2 linked regions of the Sus scrofa genome follow. The protein of the gene in region 2 interacts with the protein of the main gene of each other region in a pairwise test. Links are inferred from orthologs where the notes say so. Each region holds a gene or a part of one and is shown on either strand. Other genes may lie near its edges.

The links.
Region 1: the proteins of GRIPAP1 (region 2) and RAB4A interact in binary tests that used the Homo sapiens proteins (3 or more experiments, as listed by UniProt). The link is inferred for Sus scrofa from reciprocal best matches to the Homo sapiens genes GRIPAP1 and RAB4A.

The regions. Positions count from the first base shown.
Region 1 is NC_010456.5:60,489,761-60,495,007, reverse strand, and holds part of RAB4A (ras-related protein Rab-4A), read left to right. Parts: intron 1-444; coding exon 445-507; intron 508-1,984; coding exon 1,985-2,139; intron 2,140-3,510; coding exon 3,511-3,606; intron 3,607-5,247. UniProt on the Homo sapiens protein: The small GTPases Rab are key regulators of intracellular membrane trafficking, from the formation of transport vesicles to their fusion with membranes.
Region 2 is NC_010461.5:43,056,229-43,061,475, forward strand, and holds part of GRIPAP1 (GRIP1-associated protein 1), read right to left. Parts: intron 4,415-5,247; coding exon 4,230-4,414; intron 4,032-4,229; coding exon 3,984-4,031; intron 2,385-3,983; coding exon 2,353-2,384; intron 2,245-2,352; coding exon 2,197-2,244; intron 2,054-2,196; coding exon 1,954-2,053; intron 1-1,953. UniProt on the Homo sapiens protein: Regulates the endosomal recycling back to the neuronal plasma membrane, possibly by connecting early and late recycling endosomal domains and promoting segregation of recycling endosomes from early endosomal membranes.

The sequences.
Region 1 (5,247 bases), on a different chromosome or scaffold from region 2:
AGCTCAGAGCAGATGGATAAGGCTCCTGGTCAGTAGTGAGGCAGGAGGAGGGGAGTGCAGGCCGCCTGGCTGGAGAATCAGTGGGAGACTCAGGTCCCCTCCCTGGTGGGAAGACATGCAGGGAGCGGGGAAGGCACAGAGCAAGCCAAGCTGCCTGGAGCTTAGTGCCACCTGTGCACCCTCCTGCAAGTTCTTAGGGTCAGAGAGTACCTTCGGGTCAGAGAGTACCACCTTGGTCCCAGCCTGACAGCCCCACCCCCTGCCCTCCTAGGACACAATTGTAGATAGAATAGCTCCTCAGGTTCAAATGACTTGGCGTCATTTCTCTTTAAAGTTATATCTGTCCATCTATGGAGGTCTTCAAGGCAAAAACTGGTGTGGGAAGATGGTCCTCAGGATTAAAGGCTCTGATCGGTTGAAAGTAAAATAATGTATCTCTTCCAGGTCTGTGACGCGAAGCTACTATAGAGGTGCAGCAGGGGCGCTCCTGGTCTATGACATTACCAGGTAATGACACCCTCGCCCACCCCACCCCACCCCTGCTGGTGGAAGAGGCCATCTCTCTGCTCTCCCAGGTCCATGCCTCCCTGTGGGCTGCGCCATAAACATCAGCCCCCAGCAGCATGGCCCGCAGGCAGGAAGCCCCTCAGCCCTTTCCACAGGGGTCTTGGAGGTTTTTGAACCAGCCCCTCCACTGCTTTAGCTCGTAAAAAAGTACACAGCTTAGATAGATTAAGCATCCCCATGTTTCACTAAGTTTCTGCATGATGTTCTGGCACTTTGCTTAGGGTTTGCAAAATGAAGCTTTGTCTGTGGTAAATTGTTAGAAGTAATTGGCGTCCGCCAAGCACAGGCTCTCAGCTTGATTGCCTGAGTTCAAATCCCAGTCAGTCACTAGCTATGTGAGTCCTCAGGTGAGGGGCTTTGGTTGTCAGGACTTTAGTTTCCTTGTCTGTTTTAAGGCGTAAGGAGGGCCGTACAGCACTCATGAGCTTTTTGGGCGGTTAGATTGGTTAATAGAAAGCTCTTGGCACATCATAAGGATCTGAGTGCACTGTCCTGTGTGTAGCTATCACCCGGGTATCTCAATTAAGTTTAATTAATTAAATATTCAGTTCCTTGGTCTCACTCTCCCATTTCAAGTGCTCAGAAGTGCTATGTTGAACAGTGCAGGTGGTAGAACTTCCTGTCTTAAAGAAATGCCATCAGATGGTGCTGACCTCAGTGTTTGCCAGCACCACCTATAAACATGTCATCTGAGAGAGTATCACCCTGCTGCTGTGACACACACCCAACCTAGGTCCAGAACAAGGGGCTCTGGCAAAGAGGTGGGCAGCTCCTTGCCAGGCTCTCTGCATCTGCCTGGATGGCAAAGGTTCAGTTTGCTAAAGTGAAGCCACCAGGCACAAAGTGGGCCAGGGGAGGAAATCTGTCCTTAGATATGTGAGGGCTGCAGACAGTTCTGCAGGTGATGGACCTGGTCAGGTCCTGGCTTGACCAATGGCTGCTCGTGTCTCTGGGCTCAGGTTTCTTCTGGAGGAGGAAGATAATAAGAGTCAATGTCATGGAGTCTTCACAGAGAGTCAGTGTGATAAACCCTGTGAAACAAAGCAAAGTATGTTGCAGGGTCCTTGCATGGCAGCAGTTAGCTTAGGTCTTGATCACCCTGTTGTGCATAAAAGCTCAACTACTGTAAAATGAACAAGGGAACTTCTGTTTCCTTTTGCACCCTGATTGGGAAGACCACAAACAGCAAGCTCTCTGACTTGCTGCTCATTTTCCTGGAAACAAAATGAAACACACCCTGTGGCCATGGTGTCTGTGGCTATAGCGTGCACTGGGGCATTCAGGTTACCTCAGTTACCTGTAAGGTTGGTGGTGTTGCCCTTCATGTGTAGAAGTGGTGTGAGTGGTGTGAATGACTGGAAAGAGTTGCTAGCTTTATAAAATACATGTGCTATTTTCACAATCTTATATTACGCAGCCGAGAAACCTACAATGCGCTTACTAATTGGTTAACAGATGCCAGAATGCTAGCGAGTCAGAACATTGTGATCATCCTCTGTGGGAACAAGAAGGACCTGGACGCTGATCGTGAAGTCACTTTCTTAGAAGCCTCCAGATTTGCTCAAGAAAACGGCAAGTGACCTTTTACACATCTATTGGAGTTTTAAGATTGAACCATATTTAGGAAATGCGAAACTTCCTTATAAACCTAAACCTATTTGGCATATTTTTGTCGTGTTACATTCTGCCTACAAAGTTACTGTAATGCTAAAAGTACATTTCGTAGTATTCTGTGATGACATTTCAGTCGAGGATTTTTGAGTATTATAGCTCTTGGTTTAAATGAAATTTGTAACAATAATTTCTAAAACCCCTAATCAGATGATGTCATCTTTTTTTTTAAATGTAACTTGAAGCTAAGTTGGTTACTAAATAGAGAGAGAAGCAATAGAAGAAATACTGGACTTAATTGGCTTTATTTTACTTACAGTAAATTTAAGTCATTTGGCTGTAGATGCTTTTGAAACTTCTCTAAATTTCCATATAGAATACCTGAGGATAACACATAAAATGAATGGTTGCTTAGAGACAGCAGAATGATAAGGAATCAGATGTTTTTAAATAACTTTAATTTTTAGAACTAAAATATCCTGATATCAATTTTCATATGGACTCTAGGACTGCCAAATTATACTGTTGCAAATTAACAAGTTTTCTGCTGAGAAAATAAACATGCACTGAAAACATAAGCCGTGTTGAGTTTATAAAGAAGCTGTTAAGAAGTATGCAAGCTTAGAATGTTAGAGCTTCAAAGGAATTTATTTGTTATTTAAATAAACCTCATTTTTGCAAGCAAGGAAGCCAGTGTCCGGAGAGGTTAGGGTTTGCTCAGGAGAGCGACTTTTCTGCTGGGTGAGATACCAGCTGGTGGATAAGAAGAGCACTCCTTGGAGTTCCCTGGTGGCTCAGCAAGTTAAAGGCCCAGTCTTGTCAGTGCTGTGGTGTGAGTTCCATCCCTGGCCCTGGAACTTCCACATGTCATGGGTGTGGAGGGGGTGGGGGAAGAAGAGCCCACCTTCATACAGGATCCCTTCACTGTCAGGATGGCATACTGCCCGCCCTGTAATCCCCCCCAGGATTGCAGGTTGCGTTTGTGGTCACATAAAGGCTATTGGAAAGGAAATGGCTCCTTTGTCTTATATCAACAGCTGGGCAGTATCAGCCAGCCCACTTCCTTAACCAGCCTCTAGCTAGCTTAGTTTATTTGATTTAAATGCTAGAACAAAATACTAGTTACTTTTCATCAAAAGTTAGAACTCTTCTAATATTTAAAAAAAGTATCTTGACACATATTAATTTTATATTTGCAGAAATACATGGTTTTAAGTAATAAATTACATTTTGCCTGCCATTCTAAGAGAATATTAAACAGGCAGTTATTAATTGAATAATTGCAATTGTCTTCTAAACATGGCTTCGTGTTTTGTTTGATGTCAATTTTAGAGCTGATGTTTTTGGAAACAAGTGCACTAACAGGGGAGAACGTAGAAGAGGCCTTTGTACAGTGTGCAAGAAAAATACTTAACAAAATTGAATCAGGTAAAAAAGGCTTTCCGTTAATAAACTTTTCTTTAGCATATTTTACTCTTTGCCTCAACAGTATCACTTTTCAGTATTTCCAGGAGTGATTTGGTCAAGGGTATTTATTCTCTCTACACCTGCCGACCTTCAGCTGCCACTTGTGGGTTCAAAGGTCTTGTGCACCACCCCTCTTGCCCAGTGGTTTTTTTTGCCCCACTGATGAAAGAGACAAGGGTCAGGGTGTCAGCTGGTGTTTGCTTTTTCGAACCACAGCCTTTTTTGACCCATCATTTAAGGAAGAATGGACCTTTGTCCATCCCTATCAACAGCTTGCTCACTCTGCTGGGCCCGTGGTTTGGGTATCGTGAAGAGTTTATTTCTGAAGCTAACTGAGCAGGTCTCAGTAATCACCTGTCTCATTACTGTTCTATTTGTTGCTTCAGTAAAAATAAATTTTAAATAACCTTAATGTAAGCAGCTGACAAAATAACATGCAGTTAATCATTTATTGAAGTTAATTTTTATTTAAATGTCACCAAAGTTATATGTGGACTTCAGTTTTTCATTGAGTCATTCAACTACCTGTGCCTATTCTTTGTCAGGAGCTGAGACACCAAAGTAAATTAATCACAACCCTTGCCCTCAAGAAACTGTCATGGGAAACAGTCAAAAAATAATTATAATGCAGTGTGGTCGATACAGTACTTGAGACAAGCATGGGATCTGGGCCACAACAAGAAGGGAAACCCACCTATTCAGGAAGTGCTATCAGGAAAGGCTTCCAGGAGGAGTTGGTGACTGAGCTCAGGCTTTTCAGATGTGAGGAGGAAGAGTGAGCAAGGGAGTGAGAAGGAGGGTAGGCTGGCAGAGGGACAGCATGAGTTGAGAATGGGGGGAAGCTAGAGTTACTGGAACAGAAGGACTTCAGCAGGGAATGGCAGGAGACGATGCAGAGGAGAAGCAGCATCCAGGCCAGTCATTGTGGTCTAAGATCTGGAACTTTACCTTGTTACTAAGTCTTCACTGGCTGTGCACCAGAGTCACCTGGGATGCAGGCAGATTTGGATTCCAGGCCCTGCTTCTGGAGATGTGGAAATAAGGCCTAGGCATCCACTCTTTCATGTGATTAATTCTGATATTCATCTGAGATTGAGAACCACTGCTGTGGGGGTGAGAAGCCCTTTGGGGTGGTGAGCAGTGAGTGATATGGTCAGGTTGTGACTGGGGACAGATCACATGTGTAGGTAGCCTTGTCAAGGATAGACTGGAGGGATCACAGGGCTGAAGGCCAGGATGCCAGTTAAAGCATTTTTGAGTGATCCCAAAAAGGTGACTGATTAAAGCTATAAACAGGGATGTGGAAGCAGAGATGAAGAGATACAGATGAATCTAAGAACTATTTGGCGGTGGCACCAGGATTCAGATGCTAAATATCAGTGGTGACAACTCTGAAGAAGTGTGATCATCCAGAGAGCAGTGGGAAGAGCAGTGACCCGGAGCAAAACCCTGGAGACCCTAAAGGATAGAGAGGAGGGGAGATGTTAGAGATGTGTGAAGAGAGCCAGATGTGTCACTCCAGCCCCAATTCCACCAAAGGATCATTCATTATCAGATACAGTAGAGGAAGTCTTATAAGCTGAGACCTAAGCTTAAAAATAT
Region 2 (5,247 bases):
CCTACACCACAGTCACAGCAATGCCAGATCCGAGTCGAGTCTGCGACCTATACCACAGCTCATGGCAACACCAGATCCTTAACTCACTGAACAAGGCCAGGGATTGAATCTGCATCCTCATGGATCCTAGTCAGATTCATGTCCGCTGAGCCACAATGGGAACTCCCCCAAGGATTTTTAGACACACACAACCCCCCATACCCCTAGTTCCCAAGAGTCTTAGATCCAGAGTTGCCATCATGGCTCAGCAGTTAACAAACCCGACTAGCATCCATGAGGACATGGGTTCAACCCCTGGCCTCACTCAGTGGGTTAAGGATCCGGCGTTGGCGTGAACTGTGGTGTAGGTCGCACACTCGGCTCCGATCTGGCGTTGCTGTGGCTGTGGTGTAGGCTGGTGGCTACAGCTTTCATTCGATGACCCCCAGCCTGGGAACCTCCACATGCCATGCGCGCGGCCCAAAAAACAGAAAAGACAAAAGACAAAAAAAAAAAAAAAAAAAAAAAAAAAGAATTTCAGATCCATGCACGCACAGCCCCAGACCCCATAGGTTGCATATTAATACAACTGCCTTGGTGAGGCCTCAGACCAATATTTCACCTGCCACACCTGTCCTCAGTCTCTGGAGATCTTCGGACCCAGCTAACTGAAAACTCAGCTTTACCCAGACTTCTGTCCCCTGCTCCTAGGGGGCCTTAGACCCACGAGCCACCATATCCCCCGATCCAAGGGACCTCAAACTCACTCACTCTAGGGGGAAGCCAGGAGGCAGCCCCCAAGCCTTGGGAGCCTCAGACCCACCTAGACATTTGCTGCAGTCTCTGGATGTCTCTGACTTGCCACTTTTTTATTCACAGGCTCCAGGGGTCTTAGGACCACCCAGGCCGCATGATTCAACTTCCTAGGTATCTCAGGCCCCAAGCCAGCCCCCAAGCTCTGAGGGTCTCAAATGGACCCACTCTCCAGGCCTGTCTTACCCTTGAAAGTCTTACATCTGCCCGGCTGCCACAGGTCTCAAAGTAACCCAACATCCGGGGAATTCAGACTCATTCCAACTCTTGGTCCCAGTCCAATGACCATAGATTTCTCCATACTCCTGTCTCTAATCCCCCAGAATTTTATTTTTATTTTAAAATTATTATTTTTTTGTCTTTTTGTCTTTTCTAGGGCCGCTCCCGCAGCATATGGAGATCCCCAGGCTAGGGGTCTAATCGGATCCGTAGTCCCCGGCCTACGCCAGAGCCACAGCAACGCTGGATCAGAGCCGCGTCTGCAACCTACACCACCGCTCACGGCAATGCCGGATCCTTAACCCACTGAGCAAGGCCAGGGACCAAACCCACAACCTCATGGTTTCTAGTCGGATTCGTTAACCATTGCGCCACGACGGGAACTCCATCTAATCCCCCAGAATTTTAGATTCAGCCAAACTTGTGGCACAGATCCTCCAAGTCCTCAGCCCCCCTGAGATTTTTTTCCTTCCTTTCAGGGCCGCACCCACAGCACATGGAAGTTCCCAGGCTAGGGGTCAAATTGGGGCTGCAGCTGCCAGCCTGCCCCACAGTCACAGCAACATAGGATCCAAGTCACATCTGTGACCTACACCACAGCTCACAGCAACATCGGATGATCCTTAGCCCACTGAGCGAGGCCGGGGATTGAACCCGCATCCTCCTGGATACTAGTCGGGCTCATAACCTGCTGAGCCACAACAGGAACTCCCCCCACCCCCTGAGGTTTTTGATTCATGCAGATTCCTAGCCCAACCCCTCAGGCTCTGGGGGTTCTCTAGGTCCCATTTCCCTAGCTCCTAGCAGGCCCAGGACCCATCCAGTGCCTATATTTCTAACACAGGAAATATCAGACTTGCCAACTAGCCTCTCCAGACCTCAGAGCTCCCCAGACTCCCAGACCTGTCCCCATCCCAGTGATCTCAAAACCCAGCCTCTCACCTGATTGGCAGCCTCAAGTTCCTGCTGCAGCTTTTGAGTTCGGGCCAACTGGGCTTTGAGATCAGCTTCTTTCCGCTGTTGTAACTCCTCAATCTTGTTCCTGGGGGTGATTGGCAGGGTTGGGGGGGGGGCACAATGATCATGGCCTGAGGCCCAGTCTCCCAGCTCTGCCCCTGTGAACTTTGGTTAATGCCACTGGGCACTGCCCAGTTCTCCACCAATATCTCCAACCCTGGTAGTTACCGGCTATCATTGAATAGTGTCTCCTTTTCGGTCTGCAGGCGGCAAAAACTGGGCATAGAAAGACAGGCATTCACAGGTCAGTTCCACAAGTCAGCTCCCTCCAGAGTCCCCCCACAAGCCCCTTTCCCAACCTCTGGGGGAAAAAAAAAAATTTACCTTTCTTGTTTCTTTTTGAGTTTCTCGGAGAGCTAGGGTGGGGGAGGGGAGAACACGTGATAACAGTGAGATTAATATTAATAAGGACAAAACATAAACTGCACGTGTACAGTCACTTCCTACTAAGTCCTTTTAGGAAACTGGACTTGAAAGTTCCCGTCGTGGCGCAGTGGTTAACGAATCCGACTAGGAACCATGAGGTTGCGGGTTCCATCCCTGGCTTTGCTCAGTGGGTTAAGGATCCATCGTTGCTCTGAGCTGTGGTGTAGGTCACAGACTCAGCTTGGATCCTGCGTTGCTGTGGCTCTGGCGTAGGCTGGCGGCTACAGCTCTGATTTGACCCCTAGCCTGGGAACCTCCATATGCCGTCGGGGTGGCCCTAGAAAAGGCAAAAGGACAAAAAAAAAAAAAAAAAAAAAAAAGGAAACTGGACTTATCTTGTAGAATCCTCAAAATAGTCCTGAGAAATGAGCACTATCAGTTTGATAAATGGGGAAACTGAGTCTCAGAAGGGTTAGGTACTTTGGTTGCATAGCTGGTTGGCAGCAAAAATGTGACCTTTACCCAGCTCCCTCAGGCTCCAAAGCCCAAGCATTTATGCCCCCAACCCTATCGATGGATGGCCACATCATAGAATGGCTAAGCTGGGAGGGCTGCAAAGCAGGATCGGGATTGGCTGCCTCACCACTGGGTCTCAGATTCTTTTTTTTTGGCCACACCTGCAGCATATGGAAGTTGCCAGGCTGGGGAGCCAATCGGAGCTATAGCTGCTGGCCTAGGCCACAGCCACGGCAATAATGGATCCGCCGCATCTTCGACCTACACCTCAGCTTGTGGCAAAGCCAGATCCTTAACCCACTGAGCAAGGCCAGGGATTGAACCTGCATCCTCACAGAGACTATTTCGGATCCTTAACCACAATGGGAACTCCTCAAATTCTTTTTTTGTGGGGGGGAGTGAAAGAGAAAAAGATAGCTTTATTGCCTTGCCAGGCAAAGGGGGCCACAGCAAGCTAATGCCATAAAGACTGTGCCCCCTTCAAATTCTTTTTTTTTTCTGCCTTTTCTAGGGCTGCTCCCGCGGGGTCGAGTTCCCAGGCCAGGGGTCGAGTCGGAGGTGTAGCCACCGTCCTACACCAGAGCCACAGCAACGCAGGATCCGAGCCGCATCTGCAACCTACACCACAGCGCACGGCAATGCCGGATCCTCAACCCACTGAGCAAAGGCAGGGATCGAACCCACAACCTCATGGTTCCTAGTTGGATTCGCTAACCACTGAGCCACGACGGGAACTCCCTTCAAATTTTTAACATAACGGGAACTCCCTTTAAATTCTTAACATAAGAGCCAGCCATCTATACATGCTTGGATGGATGGACAGATGCATGAACAGGCTGAGCTGGGAGGACACAAAAGGATGGGATGTGGTCGGCTATGTACCAGACATAGAAGGGACCACATTAGCCCATCTCGGAGGGAAAGCAGATCTGAGACATAACTGCCTCTCCATTTCACAGATGACAAAACTGAGGCTTTCAGGAGGGACTCTGCCCCTTGTGCCCTGCCAGGGGAAGCATGGCAGGTGGGGACTGGGGGCGGGGCAAAGTCCAGGGAAAGCGCAGCAGCCCCACCTTAGCAAGTTCTTCCTGCAGCCTGGATGTTTCGGCCTGCTTCAAGGTCTGCTGGGAAGGATGCCGGAGGGCGTCGTTGTCAGCAAGGGAGGAGGTTAAGGTCTGTGCCTTTCCCTGCCCTCCTGCCTCCCTAACCCATCAGCCCATGAGACGGGTAATGTCTCAGACATCTCCGTGGGACCTCAGGCACAGCCAGGGCATCTGCCTGTGTCCTGGCACCCTGGGCCCCGACAGACCCAGATTCACCTCCAAGCCTTGCAGTTGCTCCCAGAGCAGTCTCTTTTCCTCCTTCTCCATCGCCCATTTCAGCTCCACTTCTGCCAACGGCATGGGGGGCAGAACAGGGGAAGCTGGGCCCCCTGGGGGGTCCCCCTCCCCCTCACTTGCAGCTGGGGACCTCCCAGCCTCTTTCCCATAGCGCTCCTGCAGGGCTGGTGGGTAGAACAGAGACATATGATGGGTGAGGTCGCCTACAAAGGCCCTTGACATTCCTCCAAGAGAGGGAGAACTGGCCTTCGACTCCTTAGGTAGCAGAAACCCTGCCCCCAATGACCACGAGCCTGCAAAACAAATGTTCAGCCCGCCCCCCTGCAACCTCTCACATTTTTTTTTTTTTTTTGCTTTTTTAGGGTCACACCTGAGGCATATGGACGTTCCCAGGCAAGGGGTCGAATTGGAGCTACAGCTGCAGGCCTACACCACAGCCACAGCAACTCAGGACCTGAGCCACGTCTGACCTACACCACGGCTCGCAGCAAAGCCGGATCCCCGACCCACCAAGCGAGGCCAGGGATCGAACTCGAATCCTCATGGATACTAGTCGGATTCATTGCCACTGCGCCACAATGGAACTCCCAGGCACACAGATAGTTTTTCAGTCTCGCCAACCATGGAAATCCTGTCTGCTATCAAATCGGCCCAAGCTAGTTTCCGCAAGCACCACCATCCATCTCCAAGCCCTTCCCACAGACCTCCAACGTGATGCCCATCATCTTCCATCTACAACTGAATGCCCCTGGGACCTCTAATCACAGCCACATTTTATAAAGTCTCCCTCCGGATCACCAAACTACCACTCACCACCCCACAAGCCCCGGCTGCTCTCTGAAAGGCCACATATCACTACACTCCCACACTTGACCAAGCTTTCTTTCAGTTTTCGTTCCAGAGCCCCCTGACACCTAGGCTCAGAATCTTCCTAACTCTCCTTTGCTCACCATCTTCATTTAGCAGACATCTCCTTTCTGGATACTTTTTTTTTTTT